Ovis aries: one gene and its partners. Each later gene encodes a partner of the first gene's protein in a complex. Links are inferred from orthologs where the notes say so. Each region holds a gene or a part of one and is shown on either strand. Other genes may lie near its edges.

Region 1 (3,512 bases):
TCAGTGGTAAAGAATCTGCCTGCCAGTGCAGGAGACATAGATCAGAGAAGACCCCACATGCTGCAGAGCAACTAAGCCCACCTGCCACAGCTACTGAGTCTGTGCTCTAGAGCCTGGGAACAACAACTACTGAGCCCAGGCACCCTAGAGCCTGTGCTCCACAAGAGAAGCCACCACAGTGAGAAGCCCTTGCACCACAACTAGAGAGTAGCCCCTGCTCGTGGCAACTGGAGTAAAGCAATGAAGACCCAGCACAGCCAATAATGAATTGTGTGTGTGTGTGTGTGCACGCGTGTGCATGCCAGTCACTCAGTTGTGTCTAATTCTTTGAGACCCCCTGGACTGTAGCCCACCTGGCTCTTCTGTCCATGAGGATTCTCCAGGCAAGAATACTAGAGTGGGTTGCCATGCCCTTCTCCAGGGGATCTTCCCCATCCAGGGATCAAACCCAGGCTTCCCACATTGCAGGCAGATTCTTTACTTAGATTTGCAAAACAGCAAATCTAAGAGGTAGAGAGGGTGAGAAAGGGGAGTGGAGGTGAGTAGAGATCCATGTAGATAGCAAAGAATCCAGGAGAAGCTTTCAACCAAGAGAAAGGTTAGCAGTAAATCCTACTATCCAGCCCACCACAGCCACCTCTGATGAAGGAGATGCTTCAACCCACCCCCACTACCCCCCAGCCCAAGAGCCTCACTGCTCCACCAAGGAGACATGGCTTCAGCAGCATTTTGGAATGAAGAAGCTCAAGGGCTTAAAAGACTAGACACAGGACCTTCCCTGGTGGTCCAGTGGTTAAGACTCCCAACGCAGGAAACACAGGTTTGAGCCCAGTTTGGGGAACTAAGAGCCACATGCCGTGTGGCCCAGCCAAAAAAAAAAAAAATTAAAAGACTAGACACCTAAGTGGCCGCCTTAGCCTGATGTCTGCACCTCAGTTATGCACATGGTGTCCCAACCTATATCAAAGCAAACTGTCTCTATGTCATCCACACGCTGTGTATTGTTAGCCCTGTTAATTGGTGAACACCTTGTCTATTTGGATTTTGCATCCTCACAGCAAACGCTTGGTGTTTGGAAATAATGTCAGTTATCATAAGGATGAAGTTAGTAGGTGAGTCCACTAGAAGCCAGGCTTCCCTGGTGACTCAGTGGTAAAGACTCCACCTGCAGTGCAGAAGAGGATTTGATCCCTGGGTCGGGAAGGAGGATATATCCCCTAGAGGAGGATATGGCAACCCACTCCAGTATTCTTACCTGGAAAATCTCATGGACAGAGGAGCCTGGCCAACTCCTCTGTCCGTAGCATTGCAAGAGTCAGACACGACTTGGCAACTAAACCACCTACAAAAAGCTGGTATCCTGGCCCCCCAGGACAGTGCCCCTTTTCCAGAACCCACCACCCTGTGACCCAGGGCGCTACCAGGAAGAGGTTCTTCAGCTTAGGGAGGTTGATTCCCTGGGTGCTATTCAGTTGGTTCCCCCGAAGCTCCAGCGTGTGCAGGCTGATCAGTTTTTGGGGATCCAAACCTGTCACCATGTGGATGCGGTTCCCTGAGGAGAAGGAGGGTGTGAAGGGTTCAGAGGGCCACCCTGAGTGTTCAGCAATAGAGCCTCTGCATCACCTTCTCTAATGCCAGGTGGATACGAGGAGGGCCACCTCCAGATGTAACACCCACAGGGCCTTGGGGCGATGGGATCCAAGGGCCCAAGGGATGTGCCCACCTAAGTCTTTGAGGCATGAATGAGGCGTGCCCCACAATCCATACAGCTAACTCCCTCTCCTCCTTCAAGTCTTCGCTTAGGTGTCAACTTCCCAATGACATTTGTCCTAGCCAACCTGTTTGAAATCGCCACCTCCCCCCACCCATTTCCTTTACCCTGATCTATTTTTTCCATTGTACTTTTCTCCTTTTATTTTTTTGTTCTTTTTTAGCACTTATCTCCTTTTAACATACTTTATAAAAATTTACTTCTTTATTGTGATCGTTGGGACTTCCCTGGTGGTTCAGTGGTTAAGACGCCACACTTCCACTCAGGGGCACTGGTTCGATCCCTACTTGGGGAACTATGATCCTGAATGCTGCATGGCACCGGCCAAAAAATAAATAAAATTAACTATTGTGATCATCGATGATTGCCTGCCTTCCCCGACTAGAACGTAAGCTATGCAAGAATAGGGAATTTCTTTGTTTTGTTCACTCCTACATCTCCAGCACATAGAACTGTCATCGTGAACCACCACGGGTGTCTGAACGAGGGAGTGAATAATGTAGGTTGCTATGTCGCACAGCCAAGGGCCATGCTGCCCACTGCTATTGGCCCCAGGCGAGAAAGGAATTGTGCGAGGCCCATCCTAAGGCCCCACCTTTGAGATCCAGACTGGCCAGACGAGGATGAGAGATGCCCTCCATGTCGGTGATCTGGTTGTAGGCAAAGCTGGCGATCTGCAGGTAGGGCAGTTCGTTCAGGGCGGCACTCCGAAGCTGGTTGCCATCGGCCTTGAGCCAGAGCAGGTGGGTGAGGTAATTGAGTGGGGACAAATCTGTCAAGTGGTTTTCAGAAACATCCACGTATCGCAGATGGATGTAGGAACGCAAGAGGTGGATGTCTGTCAGATCCCTAGGAGGTGGTAGAGGCCAGGTCAGGGTTAAGAATCCAGCAAGGGCTGTCGGAGGTGCTAAAGCAGAGGGCAGCGTGAAGATGGCTTAGAGTGGAGAGAAGAGCGACTAACAGATGGGCGAGTCGGGGAGGGGAAGCAGAAGGTGGGTGGGCTCTCAACTCTGAAGGACATGCGAGAGTCCAGCTGGAATCTCCACCCCACCCTATCCCCTTACGGCCTCCAATGCCGCAGGCCAGCTCTGATGCAGGGGGTCACAGCGTCCTGAGAAGTAGACTCTATCCTTCCCTCTTAGCTGGCCCAGGATGACAGAGATCCAAACTCAGCCAAAACACCCATGATGGAGGGTGAGAAAGGAGACTAGGCCCCACAACCTCGGCCCGCTTCTGGCCCCCCATAAACACACCTGTCTTTAATCTCCAGCTTGACGTAAGCATGAGCCAGTCCATTACCCGTCTTGCAGAGCAGAGAAAGCCCTTCCTTCATCATGTCCTCTGTGAGGGGTGTGGATATCCACTGCAGGAGGAAGCGGACTCAGGCTTGCCTTTCCAGCCCAACCCCAGCCCTTAAGCCCAGACCCCTCCGTTTCCAAGTTCTCACATCCTCGGACTCCTCTCCCTCCTTCCTGTAGTCCTCCCACTCCTCTGTCTCCTTGTCATCATCTTCCCTTTCCAGATCATCCTGGTCTGGCTCAAAGTCTTCCAGGTCATCTTCATCTGACATTTGTCTTCCCTGCTGAAGGCTCTGGAGTCAGATCAGGCTGGGTCCTCGCCCTGAGAGAGATGATCTCAGTGTTAGCCAATGCTTCCTCCCTCACCTCCATTAATGGGTACCCCTTCCATCACCCTATCACCACCCTCCCAGATCTCCTGCCAGCCATGCTTCTTTCCTCAT
Region 2 (4,160 bases), on another chromosome or scaffold:
TGGGATAATGCTCTAAAGACAAAAATAACTACATTGTCATCTCAATTCCATCTGAAACACACTAGCAATTTCTAAAGGACTTCTCCCTGGTGGCCCGGGCAGTGAAGGATCTGACTGCAGTGCAGGAAATCTGGAACAGATTCCTGCTGCAGCTCCAGAAAGCGAACACAGGAGGAGACAACCCTGGTCTCCGAAAGGAGAAACCGCCCAAGGAGGACTGGTCTCCAACAGAAGCCGGCTGCATCTGCTCATCAACCGAACCCAGGTGAAACTCCTTACTTCCTTCGGCTTGCTTCCTCTCCAGGAAACAGCAAAAATACCCAGCCAGTTGTAAGGCATATTTTTCAGACACACCAACAGGCATCTTGGCTCAACATAAGAAAGCTCATTCCCACAGAAACAGCTGCCTTAAGCCTGGCGAGAATACACAGAAGAACTGTACAAAAAGATCTTCAAGACCCGGATAATCACGATGGTGTGATCACTCACCTAGAGACAGACATCCTGGAATGTGAAGTCAAGTGGGCCTTAGAAAGCATCACTACAAACAAAGCTAGTGGAGGTGATGGAATTCCAGTGGAGCTATTTCAAATCCTGAAAGATGATGCTGTGAAAGTGCTGCACTCAATATGCCAGCAAATTTGGAAAACTCAGCAGTGGCCACAGGACTGGAAGAGGTCAGTTTTCATTCCAGTCCCAAAGAAAGGCAATGCCAAACAATGCTCAAACTACTGCACAATTGCACTCATCTCATATGCTAGTAAAGTAATGCTCAAAATTCTCCAAGCCAGGCTTCAACAATATGTGAACCGTGAACTCCCTGATGTTCAAGCTGGTTTTAGAAAAGGCAGAGGAACCAGAGATCAAATTGCCAACATCTGCTGGATCATGGAAAAAGCAAGAGAGTTCCAGAAAAACATCTATTTCTGCTTTATTGACTATGCCAAAGCCTTTGACTGTGTGGATCACAATAAACTGTGGAAAATTCTGAGAGAGATGGGAATACCAGACCACCTAACCTGCCTCTTGAGAAATCTGTATGCAGGTCAGGAAGCAACAGTTAGAACTGGACATGAAACAACAGACTGGTTCCAAATAGGAAAAGGAGTGCATCAAGGCTGTATATTGTCACTCTGCTTATTTAACTTATATGCAGAGTACACCATGAGAAACGCTGGACTGGAAGAAACACAAGGTGGAATCAAGATTGCCAGGAGAAATATGAATACCCTCAGATATGCAGATGGCATCACCCTTATGGCAGAAAGTGAAGAGGGACTAAAAGCCTCTTGATGAAAGTGAAAGAGGAGAGTGAAAAAGTTGGCTTAAAGCTCAACATTCAGAAAACGAAGATCATGGGATCCAGTCCCATCACTTCATGAGAAATAGATGGGGAAACAGTGGAAACAATGGCTGACTTTATTTTTGGGGGCTCCAAAATCACTGCAGATGGTGACTGCAGCCATGAAATTAAAAGACGCTTACTCCTTGGAAGAAAAGTTATGACCAACCTCGATAGCATATTCAAAAGCAGAGGTGTTACTTTGCTGACTAAGGTCCGTCTAGTCAAGGCTATGGTTTTTCCTGTGGTCATGTATGGATGTGAGAGTTGGACTGTGAAGAAGGCTGAGCGCCGAAGAATTGATGCTTTTGAACTGTGGTGTTGGAGAAGACTCTTGAGAGTCCCTTGGACTGCAAGGAGCTCCAACCCTCCATCCTAAAGGAGATCAGTCCTGGGTGTTCTTTGGAAGGAATGATGCCAAAGCTGAAACTCCAGTACTTTGGCCACCTCATGCGAAGAGTTCATTCATTGGAAAAGACTCTGATGCTGGGAGGGATTGGGGGCAGGAGGAGAAGGGGACGACAGAGGATGAGATGGCTGGATGGCATCACTGACTCGATGGACGTGAGTCTGAGTGAACTCCAGGAGTTGGTGATGGACAGGGAAGCCTGGGGTGCTGCAATTCATGGGGTCGCAAAGAGTCGGACACGACTGAGCGACTGAACTGAACTGAACTGAACTGAAGCCTGGCGAAGCTGTCCAAAGAAACAGAGGTTCCTCGGTCATGCTTGGGAGAAAGCAGGCCGAGTGGGAGAGGAAGGGATCGGATACAGTGGCCAGTTAAATTTAAAATTTCAGATAAACAAGAAACGATTTTGTATTATACACTCTACTATACATGTACTAAACAGTAATTTCTTATGTCTCTGAAATTCAAATTTAACTGGGTACCCCGAATTTTACCGACCTGGATTCCGAGAGCTTCGGTAGCTTTTCTATTCCAGACCCGCCTCCCCTGCCCCTCCAAAAGGCGCGGCGCTGCTCACCAGTGAGGAGGAAGAGGAGTAGGACTCAGCCACAGAGCTGCCTCCCTGCGCTGAGCTATTCCTCTGTCGCACCACTGGCAGGGTCCAAGGGCCAAAGCTGCCTCTGCCGGCTGGAAACCAGCCCAGCACCGGAAGCTGTTCTTCCCAAAAGGCGCCTGCATTCTAGAGGCTGGCGCCTGACGCATGCGCCTACCTACCTGCAGATAGCGTCCCGTTGCTAGGCAATGAGCCCGCGCGCCCCTGGGCTGGAGACTGCCTGGGTCCGAGAGAGAAGAGTGCGTGCTGAGAGCTGAGCTGACTACGCTGGGCTGAGGTCAGAAGAGGCGCGGGCCGGGGCGTGAGCGATGGTGAGGGTTGGAGGCGGCGGCGGAGTAGATGCTGCAGAGAGGAGAAGCTGGAGGAGTGGAAGGTAGGATGCGCAGCTGAGAGGAGGCTGCGCCCAAGGTGTACAGGGTGCTGGATGGAGAGCCGGAAGCACCAGGGTACGTGAGCAGAGACAGGATGTGCAATCTAGAGGCTTTGAGGAGGGGCCAGCCAAAAAGGGGAATTGACCAAGCGAGACTGGCAAGCGCAGTGCACACGGAGAGAGCCAGGACAGAGGCTGACCGGGACGGGGCGGGGCGGGGCGGGGCAGGGGCGGGAGTGGATGTGCGCAAAGGCTACCGGTAGGTGAAGCCCGCACTGCTTAAGGCCAGAAAAGAGTGTAGCAATCTAACATCCTGGTATTTTCTCAGCCTAGCGCTTTCGCACCTGCTGGTGACTTCTGCTTGGATCCTGGCCACTGGGGGTGGGGATAGCACATCTAAGAGCTGTAAATTCAGTTTTACTTGGGGACTTAACTGAGGATTATAGCCCTGCAGACAGCCTCTCAGACAACTCTGAGAAACTGCTTCAGCATGGAAGAGGTGAGGGCAGAGGTCAGCGTATAGGAGATTTGGAGAACGGGTACCTGCAGTCAAACATATATCTAGGTAAAAGTCTACTGCTAGTTATCAAGCACACACAGTTTAATTATTTTATGGCTTTTCTAAGTATGTAAGATGCAAGAAATTGGGTTTGTAAATTTTTGTCCTGAAAGTTTCTGTCTGAAGGTCTATTCTGTCAGTTTTCCCAGAAAGTGGAGTATCTCATTCCTGATTTCCACCCTGAACTCTTTTCAGGCTGTGTTAGTGACCAGTTAACAACTGCTAATGACTCAGTCCTTGTGGAGCCAGCTGGCTGGAGACATTCTTTAGTTGGCACTACTTTCAGAGCGAGCCCGGGTGCCCCCACCTCCAGGAAGTCTTCCAACCTTTTTCATCTCCCCCACCATCTGCAGCCTTCCCTGGGCTAGTTGTTTCGCACAGTTCTTGGCTAGCATTTCCCATGTTTTGTTTCAGTTTATGTGGGGCAGTGCTGGGCACAAGATGCTTCACTAAATGTTGATTGAGATAATAAGTGCCAGCGGGAGCACTGACAGATGGAAGGCTCTTCAGCGTTTGGTCCTCAGTGTCTGCCACACTGCAGTAAGTGTGGCAAACTGGATAAACGATCTGCTCCAAACTTGGTGATCCCACCCCCTGGGAAGGGTAGTTGTACTGGGATTAAGGCAAAGGAGAGCTGTAACTGTGTATCACCTGGGGATTCTGTTAAAATGCAGACTCTCAATCTGTAAATCTGAGGTGGGACCTGAGAATCTGCATTTCAACAACTCCCAGGTGATGCAATGACCACACTTTGATGAGAAGGGGTGTAGAAAGTAGTTTACTTGGGTGCATTGGTTCAGGTGCATTAGTCACAGATTGGCAGAAGCAGCCACCAACACATCCCCATCCCCTCCCTTCACCACTACC
Region 3 (4,028 bases), on another chromosome or scaffold:
TAAGAAGTTTTAATTTCTAATTATTGCTTGCTGCTTAATTATTTTTTCACTAATTCTTTTCAAACTTCTAAAAATCAAATTGGAAACTTTATCTTATTTGTATGTTTTGTCTTTCTTCTAAAATTAATGAGTAACATACTTCAGGGATTAAAAAATTCAAAGCAATATAAAAAGGTTCATACTGAAAAATTTCATTCCCATTCCTGTCCTAATTCAGCCTGTTCTTCCTTACCTTCTATATGCAATCATTTTTTACTGTTTATTTAAAATTCATTTTGTAAATTCTTCTAAATTCTTCTAAATTCATTTTGTAAATACTGGCAAACATGAATATATATTACTTTTTCTCTTTCTATCATAGAAAAAAGCTACACATTGTTCTGCATCTTGCTTTTTTCCCTAGCAGGACACAGAGAGGTTCTTCATTGCTCTTTTTATAATTAGTTGCATAGTATTCAATTTGGCAAATTCGTCAGGGTGAATTTCACCAATTTCCTAATGTGGGGTTATTTTCAATTTTTTGCTTGTAAATAAACAATGCTACAAAAAATTACCTAGATATATGTCACTGCATATTAATACACAAGTTATAGGAGAGATTCCCAGAAGTAGTACTGCTGGGTCAAAGGGAAGATGCATCTGTAAATACTGATAGATAATCGCCAGATTCCCTTCCATAGGGGTTATGTCATTTACTTTTATATTCTTGCCAGATGGTAGTTCAGTGTCATTTTAATTTGCTTTTTTCCTGCTTAGAGATTGAGCATCCTTTACCATGTTTTAGAAGCATTTTTATTTCTTTGACCATCCACATGTACTGCCCATTTTCAACCGAATTTTTATCCTGTTTTAGGAGCTTTTTATACATTTGGGAGATTACTCTTTATGAGTTACAAGTATTTTTTCCAAGTTTGTCACCTGTGTTTTGCCTTTGCTTATTATGCTTATTTGGCCATGCTCAAGTTTTTTATGTTTATATTTTTATCAATCTTTTATTTTACAGTACCCAGTAAAAAGGCTGTTCCCTTCCGAGAATAAAAAGAAATTCAGCCATTTTTCTTCTAGAGTTTATATGGTTTAGTTTTTTAATATTTAAATGTCAAATTCATTTGGAATTTATCCTGGTATATATAGTGTAATATTTGAATCCAAGTTTTTTTTTTAAGTGGCTACCCAGTTTCCTAACATTTATTTAAAAGCTCATCTTTATCTGAATCTTTTAATTATATTATTTCTTTATACTTTCCCTTATACTACTCCCTTAAATTTTCTTGTAGCATCTCACCCTCAGCCTCCACGTATCCTTCTAAGTTCATTTAAAAACCCATCTTCTGAAGACTGAAGTTATCTTTTTTATTTTTTAAAAGACTCAACAAGCAATATGACAGTCAATAAATATAATAAAAAGTGAAATTTCAAATAAGAATGGTACAAAAAAGGAAAATTAAAAATATTCCATTCTATTTGATAGTCTTTATATATTCAAACTACTAACTGCAGAACAAGGAAAAGGCTTAAAACATTAAATTAAAAAAAAAAAACACAACTCAACAGTCTAAAAATTCATCAAGAGAAGATCAAGTAAATAAACTGTGGTTTATTAGGACAGAAGAGTATTTACACAGAAGTTAGATTCAGAAGTAATGATCTGGCATGCTATCTGAGGGAGGGTAAAGAGGGTCCAGGGAGGGCGACTGTCCTACTTTATGGGGGAAACATATTTGTAAATGCACACAAAAATTCTGGAAGAAAATAAAGTGTCAAGTGATTGTCTCTGCAGATTGAGAGTTGATGGGAGAAAGAAGCTTTACTTCTCATTTTATATATTTTTAAACTGTGAAAATACTTTTTGGAAAATTATCACATATAACTTTTATATTCAGAAGAGTAAACCTAAATTTCATGCTAAATACGAAGGATTGAACTGGGCTAACACATATACATAAACATTTTCAAAAGGTAAAATCAAAGGTATTCTAAAACAAGTTTAGGGATATAACTCTATGAGTAAGAAGAGCTTTCAAACATACCTTTTATTTAAGATAAAGTGAATTTTTAATTCTATTTTAGCTAAAAGCTAAGGCAGAAAAGTCTAGTTCAGTAGAGAGGGAAAAAACATGATCATACTGCCCAGAAGTTACCTGAACAATGGTGAATCCAGATCTGAGAATAATATCTTGTATCTCCTCCTCTTTGTCAACAATATCTGGTTTGATAATAGCCAGAGTCTTTTCTACGTAGATCTGAGGTGGGGGCATTGATAGCTCCATTCTGGCTTTTGAGCTACAATTTAAGGTCCTTCACGCGAATCAACTGCAATGACATGCACCCGCACCCCCAACTTAATGTAATTGTGACTAAACAGCATTATCAGGTGCTTGATTTTTATTAATTTATAAAGCTGGAAACTGTCGGAGTTTTTTCCACAAGCAGTGTCTCAATAATAAGATTTTTACTCTGTCTCCTGCCATGGGTTTTCCTAGGTGCTTTCATTAAGTTAGGAGAGCCCAAGGAGCAAGACAAAGCCGAGGACTCGAGGAGCCCAGGAGGAGACTAGGTCTGCAACTCTCCACGCCACTCAGCACCACCCTCCACAGTGCACACACACACACCCTCTCTCCACCCCCTCCCGCCACCAGGAGGCTTAGGGTAAGGCCCGGCTGGAAAGCAGAATTCCTGGGTCCCCTGGATCTCTGTGGGCTGCACCCCAGATTTCTTCAGAGTCCGGCCCTCATCTGGGCACTCACCTTAGCCTGGGCTCCTTTAGTGTCACAGATTGTTGCCAGGAGACCAGAAACCCAGCTTAGAGACGGTGGCTGCAGAGGGCCAATTCCAGTAGAGCACTTCAGTCTTTGGCTAGCTCCTTTTAGCCAAGAAAGGGAACCCACCACAGGGATTTTTATCCCCTTGCAAATCTTAAAAGCAGTAGATGTTTTCTAACATTTTCCTCATAATTTATTTTATTTCATCCTCCTAGTCATTCAAAGGACACTTGTATTATCTCCACTTTACAAATGATGAGATAAATCATTGGTGCTCTCCCTCATCCTACCCCCAGCACCTTCCATTCTATGTAAGAAAATCTGTGTCAGATACCTTCCATATTTCACCAGACAATGTTATCCCCTCTACTGCCAGCTTCTATACTCATTAAAAGGTAATTTTTGACTTGTGAATTAACATTTATTTAAAGAGCAGTATTTATTTAAAGAAGTTTAATCTATTTATCTCTAAATTAACCTTACAGAACAAAAATGTGGGCAACATATATGGCATAACCCCAAATCTCAGTTTTCTGTGTTTTCTTTATATCATGTCCACAAGCACCTTTAACTCTTTGGTTGTAAGTTAAGGTATAATTCTTATTAGAAAAGACAACAGAAAAATGGTAAGCAAGTATTGGGATCTTCAATAAGTCAGAGTCTCAAAGAAAGGTCCAAAATCCAGAAAAGTTCAGGAAAGCAGCTCCAAGTTAGCCAAACAGGTTTTCCATCATCCATAGGTTGGTTAGTTTTCATTCCAGACTATTTAAGTCTCTTCTTTTGTCTAACCAAATACTCAGCACCTACAGGGTCAAGGCAGATAGCAGCTATGAATCTTTATGGAGGTTTGAATGCAATTTTATTTCTTTCTCTGCAGAGATTCAACCATGTTTTTTTCTTTAAAGTATCAATAAGATGCTGCCCAAAAAACAAACCCTCAAATGTCTTCTGGCTACCATATCTTATCTTCTACAGATGGGACAATGTGCACATATATTAATACCAACATAGTGTCAAAAAATGGACAGTGACTCCAGCCTCAGGTGTTCATGTTTAGCCCTCTGACTTGAGGCTCTGGAAGTAGATGCACCCATTACTTCCTTATCTATCCCCAGGTCACTAAGAGCTCTTTACTGCTGCCTGCCTTCCTAGAGTATTTTACTTCACCATCTATTAAAGCTGGTTCCACAGAGGAGCAGTAACAATATCAACCCTTCAGGGCCTTGAATCACCTCTAAACATAAACTCTGGGAGAACAAGGTCATT

The links. Proteins that work in one complex are often made in the same cells at the same time.
Region 2: LRRC23 (region 1) and DYDC1 share a complex: the UniProt entries of both Homo sapiens proteins name them as parts of the axonemal radial spoke complex. The link is inferred for Ovis aries from reciprocal best matches to the Homo sapiens genes LRRC23 and DYDC1.
Region 3: LRRC23 (region 1) and NME5 share a complex: the UniProt entries of both Homo sapiens proteins name them as parts of the axonemal radial spoke complex. The link is inferred for Ovis aries from reciprocal best matches to the Homo sapiens genes LRRC23 and NME5.

The regions. Positions count from the first base shown.
Region 1 is NC_056056.1:209,392,587-209,396,098, forward strand, and holds part of LRRC23 (leucine-rich repeat-containing protein 23), read right to left. Parts: intron 3,392-3,512; 5' UTR 3,342-3,391; coding exon 3,219-3,341; intron 3,135-3,218; coding exon 3,025-3,134; intron 2,621-3,024; coding exon 2,367-2,620; intron 1,553-2,366; coding exon 1,422-1,552; intron 1-1,421. UniProt on the Homo sapiens protein: Essential for sperm motility and male fertility. Plays an important role in the proper assembly of the third radial spoke (RS3) head and the bridge structure between RS2 and RS3 in the sperm flagella.
Region 2 is NC_056078.1:34,793,951-34,798,110, forward strand, and holds the start of DYDC1 (DPY30 domain-containing protein 1), read right to left. Parts: upstream 2,805-4,160; 5' UTR 2,526-2,804; intron 2,493-2,525; exon of another isoform or gene 2,329-2,492; intron 1-2,328. UniProt on the Homo sapiens protein: Functions as part of axonemal radial spoke complexes that play an important part in the motility of sperm and cilia. Plays a crucial role during acrosome biogenesis.
Region 3 is NC_056058.1:47,235,899-47,239,926, forward strand, and holds the start of NME5 (nucleoside diphosphate kinase homolog 5), read right to left. Parts: upstream 2,805-4,028; 5' UTR 2,748-2,804; exon of another isoform or gene 2,314-2,747; 5' UTR 2,271-2,313; coding exon 2,142-2,270; intron 1-2,141. Other genes in the region: bromodomain-containing protein 8-like, read right to left, coding at 3,515-3,565. UniProt on the Homo sapiens protein: Functions as part of axonemal radial spoke complexes that play an important part in the motility of sperm and cilia. Does not seem to have nucleoside diphosphate kinase (NDPK) activity.